2 linked regions of the Mus musculus genome follow. The protein of the gene in region 2 interacts with the protein of the main gene of each other region in a pairwise test. Links are inferred from orthologs where the notes say so. Each region holds a gene or a part of one and is shown on either strand. Other genes may lie near its edges.

Evidence for each region.
Region 1: the proteins of Kat7 (region 2) and Ninl interact in a two-hybrid assay, tested with the Homo sapiens proteins (2 studies listed by BioGRID and IntAct). The two-hybrid records come from large-scale screens. The link is inferred for Mus musculus from reciprocal best matches to the Homo sapiens genes KAT7 and NINL.

What each region holds. Positions count from the first base shown.
Region 1 is NC_000068.7:150,939,769-150,943,581, forward strand, and holds part of Ninl (ninein-like protein), read right to left. Parts: intron 1,063-3,813; coding exon 904-1,062; intron 199-903; coding exon 85-198; intron 1-84. UniProt on the Homo sapiens protein: Involved in the microtubule organization in interphase cells. Overexpression induces the fragmentation of the Golgi, and causes lysosomes to disperse toward the cell periphery; it also interferes with mitotic spindle assembly.
Region 2 is NC_000077.6:95,307,161-95,311,513, forward strand, and holds the start of Kat7 (histone acetyltransferase KAT7), read right to left. Parts: upstream 3,087-4,353; 5' UTR 2,890-3,086; coding exon 2,875-2,889; intron 2,539-2,874; exon of another isoform or gene 2,398-2,538; coding exon of another isoform or gene 2,377-2,397; exon of another isoform or gene 2,218-2,376; intron 1-2,217. UniProt on the Homo sapiens protein: Catalytic subunit of histone acetyltransferase HBO1 complexes, which specifically mediate acetylation of histone H3 at 'Lys-14' (H3K14ac), thereby regulating various processes, such as gene transcription, protein ubiquitination, immune regulation, stem cell pluripotent and self-renewal maintenance and embryonic development.

The sequences.
Region 1 (3,813 bases), on a different chromosome or scaffold from region 2:
GTCATGGAAACTGTCAGCCCACTGTTGATATTTCTCATGTCCCAGAATTGGACCAAGTGCCCCAAGCCATCTTAACCAACCCACCTGGCTTCGACTTTCTTCAAGGCTTTCTGTCAGCTCTGCCTGTGACAGTCTTAAGTACTGGCATTCCTCATTCACACGTTCAAGTTCAATTTTCAGGTTTTGGATTTGATCACCCTGTTTATAAAAACAAAACAAAAACACTTTCACAATTATAAGCAGAGCCTGACACAGAAACAAACCAGAAAGTTACAGACACGAAAAAACAAGATAAATGATCTCCCATGACCCTGCGAGCCGAAGGACCACACTTAATTTCTTTCCCCTCTTCTATAAGGTGCACATCTAATGTGAACGCATATCAGAGAGCATATAGTGTCCTGCAGTGCTGCCTTCCTTAAGGAACCTGGATCATTCCCAAACACTGTTATTTGAGAACTCGGTATCTAATGGCTGCACCATCATCTACTCGTTCACCTACTGCTGATGTTCAAATTGATTCTGGTCCTGTTTTCCTATTATAAACAGGACATCAATAAAAATACTTCCAGATAAATCCATAATGCATTTAGAAGCAGCCTTCACAAGCAAAATTATAAAGCCAATGTACAGGGACGTTCTTCGGCTCTTGCTCTTTATTTTACTTTAGAAAGCTGGAGAACCCTACCACTTACTCTCCTGAGAACTGCAGGGACACAATTAGCTCCCCTTTCTACATCCCGGTGGCTTTGCCAGAGCTGTCCAGGCGGGTCCATTTCTCGAAGAATTGCCCTTTATTTCACTTTTGGGGGTACTCACCTAACTGCTCAGCCTCCACTACCCAGTGGGCCCTCCTTCCACCCACCCACCCACCAAGGTTTGTGGGACAGCCTAGCCCCTGACCTGCTGCTCCTCCCGGCACCCTGCCTCCTCCAGCTTCTTCATTAACACCTGGATAGCACCGTGGTTCTCTTCCTTCTGTGTATGGAGACCAGAAGGCTCTCCTTCCAGCTGAAGGACCCTGCAGTTGAGCTGTGACATTTCATCCTTGTACTTTTGAGTCTATAGCAAAAAGAGTTCAAACACATTTTTATGTACATGTTATGAATTTATTAATGATTTAACTAAAGTAGGAAAACCTTTCCTTAGCTTCAGCTCCAAAGGAGAAATGTACCATAAATATATACAAGAAGTTGAGTCTAAAGAGCAGGATGTATCCAGGACCTAGAAGGTTTCTGGGAATCTTTCCCTGTAGCTGCTTCGTTCCTAAACATCATTTTTGTCTGAAGAACTTTTTTTTTGAGCATGAGCAGAAATTCACACGTCACAGATCACTATGAACAGAAACACGTGTAGTCTCTAACTCCCAAGCCTCCAGGAGAAAGAAACACTGATCAAAGTAGTTCAAGTTCTCCCTCTCAGTCTTCTCGGCTATGCCTGATGCACCCAGGCCATTGGTACAACTGAAGCTAAAGGGAAATAATTACGGATTGTGAGGTGTTGCCAGAGGAAGATTACCAAGGCTTGAACAGCCAGCCAGCCTCTATGCTGTCTTTATATATTTACCGGAGAAATAAGGATATGAATATGGAGGTCAAACACTCGTTTAAGAAAATGCTTCTAAATGTCAGCTTCATTCACATCATTCCAGAATTCTCCAACCAGGTGAGACTTTACTTGCTGTGTGCATCCTGCAACTCCTGGAGACATTTTGAGTTATCAAAGAAGCCTGACAAGTGAGCAGAGGCTGTACACAGAGCGCAGGGGAAGATCCAGCTCAGTCAGTGGCCAGCAGAGCTAAGAACTAGAAACTCCAGTCTGTCCTGTAAGATGAGACAACCCAGCCCTCCAGAGGCTGTTATGTGCTACAGCCACCAGACTACCCTTCTGATGCCTTCTAGACTTTATCATTCCCTCCAAGGTTATTTTAAAAATATATTAAGCAATTTAAAAATAATCTAAATATGGCTGAGGAAATGGCTCATTTGGGGTGAGGTCTTTGCAGTGTAAATCTAAGCACCTAAGTTTGGATCCTCAGCACTAGCTTGAAGCTCGGCAACAGTGTGCATCTGTAGCCCAGCACTGGGGATGAAGGTGGGACCATCCTACAGGCTTACTGGCCACTCTAGCCAAAACAACAAGCACCAGGTTCAGTGAGAGACCTTGTCTCAAAAATTAAGATGTAAAAGTGGTTGAGAAAGATACTCTTCATACATACCTGCATAGGTGAATGTACCACCCACGTGCATATACAATGCAAACCAGAGTAGTCCGGAAAAAAAGTTTGAATGAACTTAAGGTATGAGAATCTTTTAAAAGGGTCCCTACCAGTTACTAAATACACAAATGCAGCTTTCAGAAGGAGGAGGGAGTGTCTTCAAGTTGTGCATCTTGCTTGCCCTAACAACCACTGTCCTACAGAGAGAATGGATGAAAGGGTGAAAGGTGTAGGTACAAGCACAGTACAGAATGGCAGCTCACAAGTTGGCCCTACATCATTTTTTCACCATGGAAAACCTAACCACTCAGATTATTAGGAACTATTGTTTGTTTTAATAGGAGGGCTGTTTTTAACAAAACAAAACAAAACAAAACAAAACAAAACAAAACAAAACAGATTACCATCATACAAAACACTTCTGTTTCCACAGCATCAGTTTGGAGTCAGTGTAACCTATGATATACTTGTAGGACTGCTGGTCACAAACACCTCTCTAGGGATCCACAAAACATCATGCCAATTAAACACATGATGGAACCTAGGATCTGCTTCAGCTGTGGTCCATGCCGTTAGCATGTTTCCACATTGTTCTCGAGTTCTCAGTAATTCATGTCACTCCTCCCTTCTGTATAATCTCAGACTGAGGTTAGCACATAGCTGCTGGCAGGCTAGTATGAGAATGTCTTGCTCCAACAGTATGTTCTTTGGCAAAACTTAAAGTCACTTTCAGTATTGATATACACTCACATTGTCTCCCAGGAAAGCTCTGATTTCATTAACAGGAATGAAATATTCCTCTCCTAGGATAGTATTTAAAGTCTCTGTAAATAACACTGAACTCAGAGCAGTCTAAAGAATAAGCTCACCCTTTCAACCAGGCACCCATGATGGCATCTTCACCGACTGGTATGCCACTCTTGCCAACAAGCACCGTGTATGACTGCACACATATTCACATGCACACAGATGCACACATGTCCTTGCCTAGTCCCATGGTGTTTCCTGAGGACAGGAACACTCCTCACATCGTTGTCACCACTCTAGGTTCTGCTTCAGGACAGCAGCCCTGGTGGCTCACAAATCCCAGTTTTGACCTCTGCCCAGTGACAGTTTTCAGCCTTTTCCCCAGCAAATAATAACCTGGTGCCTCCTATGATGCTGAATCATCCTTGAATCTAGGGTGTTGCCATGGCTTCTTACTGCTGGCATTTCTGACAAGTAGAACCCCAGCCCCTTTACTAGTTAGTCATTTGGAGTTTATCTGATGCTTCCTGGTGACTCGGGTTGTACGCTCCCTGGAAGGTGCCTAGACAGGGTCTTAGAGCCCTACAGATGCCAGCAACATCTGGGAATAAGGCAACTACCATCCAAATTTCTAAGTTAAATCTTTAGCTTTCTTTGTAGAATTTGCCTCCTGGGTTCATATAAAAATAAAGGGATATTCATGTCAAAGATGATTCTACTGGGTCTAACCAACCCTTTTGTTCAAATTTCTTCTGATCTTCAAGTCACACAGACCAAAGTAACATAAGACCAAACAGCACGGCTCCCTGAGGAAGCAGGCATTAGATGTAGAACAGGGACGACCTGTG
Region 2 (4,353 bases):
CTACCTGGAGCTCCAGTTCTAGGAGCTCTTTTTTTTTTTTTTAAGATTTATTTATTATTATATGTAAGTACACTGTAGCTGTCTTCAGACACACCAGAAGAGGGAGTCAGATCTTGTTACGGATGGTTGTAAGCCACCATGTGGTTGCTGGGATTTGAACTCTGGACCTTCGGAAGAGCAGTCGGGTGCTCTTACCCACTGAAAGAAATTAACCAAAAAAAAGATACAAATTATTTTCTTAACCATCAGTCCTCAAAGTTTCTCCACATGGATGTTATAAGTGCTGCTGGAAAGGAATTTATACTAAAAACTAAATAGGTATTCAAACCGGGCTTTTTAAAAATTAGATTTATTTTACTGTATGTGTGAAAGTTTTGCCTGTATATTGATCTCATACACGCCCTCGGAGGTCAAGGGAGGTTGTCCAGTCACCTGGGACTGGAGTCATAAGCGGTTGTGAGGCTTGAAACAAGGTGCTTGGAACCCAGTCCTCTACAAGAGCAATGAGTACTCTGACCAGCTGAACAATCCCTGCAGCCCCACGTGTCAGGTTCTCAGAAAAACGCATGCCACACCCTAGCCATAACTCTCGGCCTCTGGAAGGGTGATGAGCCATGAAGATTACTTTACCTAGTAAGCACTGACACGTGCTCTTTTCTAAGCTGGACAAAGAGTACTTGCTGAAATCACTACAACTCCTCAAACTCAGTCCTACTATCTTTGGCAGGAAAAGGGAGTGGGACAGACGAAGGACTGAACTCAGGGCTTCCCGGCAGTAACCACACCCCACTGAGCTATAGCTTAGTCCCAGGCCCCAACGCTTTATTCAAAGAATAAGCTCCCTGGGGCCAAGTATGTTTGGAGTTACTAGATTCTTACAGAGGACACATATATCCTGTGATTAACAACCCACACTAAAAACATTAATATTTTCTAGCAAACAGAAATTTAGTATCACACTACATGAGGCATATAAAAAAACTAAATAACCTAAGGATAGATTAGGACAGATTGGCCATCAACCAAGTTACCAACATATTTACATTTGGGTTTTGTTGGTTTTGAGATAGGTTCTTGCTATTTAGCTCAGGCTGGCCTGGAATTTATTATATAACCCAGGTTTGCCTTAAGCTCAAGATGAGCCTCCTGCCTCAGCCTCCAGGATGCCAGAACTACAGGTGTGTATCACTATACCCAGCAAGAACTTACATTTTCTTCTTCTTTTTGAGTCAGGACACCCCAGCATATCAGCCATGTGTACCTCAAACTATAGAGATCCACCTCCCAAGTGCTGGAATTAAAGGCTTGTACCATAACATCCAGGAAGAATTTACATTCTCCACTTTTACATTTGGAAACTGCTAAAAGGAGACTAGATCATTCCAACAAACCAGTAGGTCTGTCTCTTGTATTTGGTATGCCTGGATATAAATACTACCTGTCGAGCTGATGAGATGGCTCAGCAGGTTAAGAGCACTGACTGCTCTACCGAGGGTTCTGAGTTCAAATCCCAGCAACCACATGGTGGCTCACAAACACCTGTGCCCTCTTCTGGTGCGTCTAAACTCAGCTACAATGTACTCATGTATAATAATAAATAAATCTTTGGGCCTGAGTGAGCAGAGGTCCTAAAAATTCAATTCCCAACAACCACATGAAGGCTCACAACCATCTGTACAGCTACAGTGTACTCACATACATAAAATACATAAATTAATCTTTTAAAAAAATACTACCTGTCAACTCTGGTCATTGCAAGAGACATTAATGTAAATATTTAACTTGGAAAGCTTCCATGAAGAGTGATCTCTGCAGAAATATGAATACCAACCGTCTATCCATCCAAATATTTCATTCAAAAATCTGACCACAAGTAAATAGAGGCACAGAATGTCACTAAAAGGCAAACTTTAGGGTCATCTCAGCCAAAGACCCTGACACCCGTCCATGACCTATCAATTCTGCCTGGCTTAACCCTGAAAATCAGCTCTTTACTTATTTCCCACGTTAACGGCTTTCTTACAGTGTATACAATTTCAAGCAGAGACTGTATGAACTATGGTTCTTTGTGTTCTTCTCTCAACAGCGATAACCCTTTAAGCCAGTGATCACGCATACTTTTCGAATTCCTAGCAACTAGCACGTAACACTGCTCTTTGCATTTTACGACTGAACATATGGGGCAAATGTCATACAGTTCAACAAACATTTACTGACCAGGAAATGTCAAACTGAACAAATAGGTGGAAGACGGTGACTGAGACGCAACAGGCCTGCGAGCTATCCCTTGGGGGTGGGCGCTGGCTTTCTAACCACCCATCCTCGGCTTTGTTGTAATCCCCCCACCAGGAAAGGAAAGTGGTCTTCCCAACTCGCCTTTACAACACCTATCGCCATCTCTATCCGGAAGGGCGGGGCGTTGGTCGCCCCAATCCAGGCCTTGCTAAGCCGCACCCGCCACAAGAACAGACTGCAAAGCTGGGCCAATAAAGAGAAGGGAGAGCATTCGCCACAGCCAGTCGGAGAGCACCGGGGCCAGACCGAGACACCGCCCACGCACGCGGGGAGGTGACCGTTGGGCCCAAACAGGCGGCGTCACCATCCAATCAATACGCTTCTAGACATTTCCGCGACCAATTAACAAGAACGCCTCCGATCCGGGCAAGCAGAGGGCGGGAATAGTTACAGGCATAGGCCGAGGCCAGGGTCGGGCCCACATTTTTCTGTCTGGTACCGAGAGGAGACAGAGTAGCTAGGCTAGGTTCGGGGGACCAGAAAGTTGGAACCCAAGCACGACGAGGCGTGGCCAACCGCGTCACGTTACTCAATCGACTCCCCTTAGAAACCCGCCATCCCTTCTCTGCCATTTCTCACCTTCCTTCGCGGCATTGCCGGCGGCTGCAGCCCGACGGTTCCGATTCGGGCGGCGGCAGCACCAGCAGGAACGGGGGCTCCGGCGGGCTCCGTGGCGGCCTCTGTAGCTGTCCCAAACCCTGCGGACGATCCCAAGTGCCTCCTACCTCTCAGCGTCTAGAGCCTTCTGCGCAAGCGCCGCGGGCTGGAAGCGCCTATTCCTTAACTTCCGGCTGAGGCTTGCGTCACCTGACCTTTAGGCCAGTGAGGATCATGGGAAGCTCGAAACTCTTAGTGAGGCCAGTCAGCGCCATTTTGGAATTGGGCAGGAGACGGCACCAGTGGTGAAACCTTCGGCTAGACCTTTTTAGTTAGGTAGGCGGCATTCGTGTGGGATTAGGTAGCCATGATTGTTTGGGGCAGAAGTCTGGCAGTTGAAGGTAACCGTTTTCATCTTTACATTGGGCAAACTCTTCCTTCCTCGTCGTTTTAATTTGTGGCGTGGAGGGAGGAAAACCCCAGAATCCATCAGGTTGTCGATCTTTAACTCTTTCATTTCCTAGTCGGCCGAAGGACGTTTCCGTTCATTCTGTAAACTCCGAACTGGCAAGAGATATTTTGCCCAAGGAACTGCTGTAAGAGCTATTCCGTGTTCCGGAGTGGTGTGAATGGGGCTTGAATAAAGGATTGACAGGGTCGTTGTCGGTCTTGAAGTGGGGTAGAGTGTTCTCTTTATGCCTTGTCCTTGCGTTAAGAGAACAAGAAGTAAGTTATGAGATGATGCAGAGCCATTCTCAGGATGCCGGAGCGCCAAAGAATTTCCAGTTTATCTCTGTTGTGAAACGCCCCCGGCTTATCAGTGCTCTGCTTTGGTTTGAGATCTTTGGGTGGCCCGGAGAGGGGCGGAGGACGTGGTTTGAATGTGAGGGTGCTGTACCAAAAGTCGGAGAAGTGTTGAACCTCATTCAGCCCGTGTGACCTCTGTAGCACAAATGCAAGAGCCAAGAACTGAGTGGAGAGAGAAATAGTATTTTGAAAGACACTAGAAAGGGAGTGGGTATTCAAGTAATAATAAAAGGCCATAAGAAGAAGAAATTAAGACTAGAAGAAAGAGCTATACGAAAAGTCTGGAACCAGGTGGGGGGGTGGGGGTGGGGGTGCATGCTTTTTGAAGCAGGCAGATCCAAATCATGAGCTTACGGCCAGCCTGGTCTACATGGCCAGTTCCAGGCTAGATCCTGTCTCGAAAAAGAAAAGTCTGGAAAGTGGTTTGTAGGCCTTGAAGTTTTAGCCTCAGAGGACTTGAAAGAACCAAGGTGAACCAAGAGTGACTTGCTGGAATCAAAGCAACCTCAGTAATTACCAAGATAGAATTCTGGTTCCAGATTTGTGTGTGTGTGTGTGTGTGAGCTGAGCACGCACTCATGACCAGGTGAGTGCTCAGAGGACAACTTTGGGGAATAGATTCCTAACTTCCACCTTTGTGGTGTCTCTGGGATC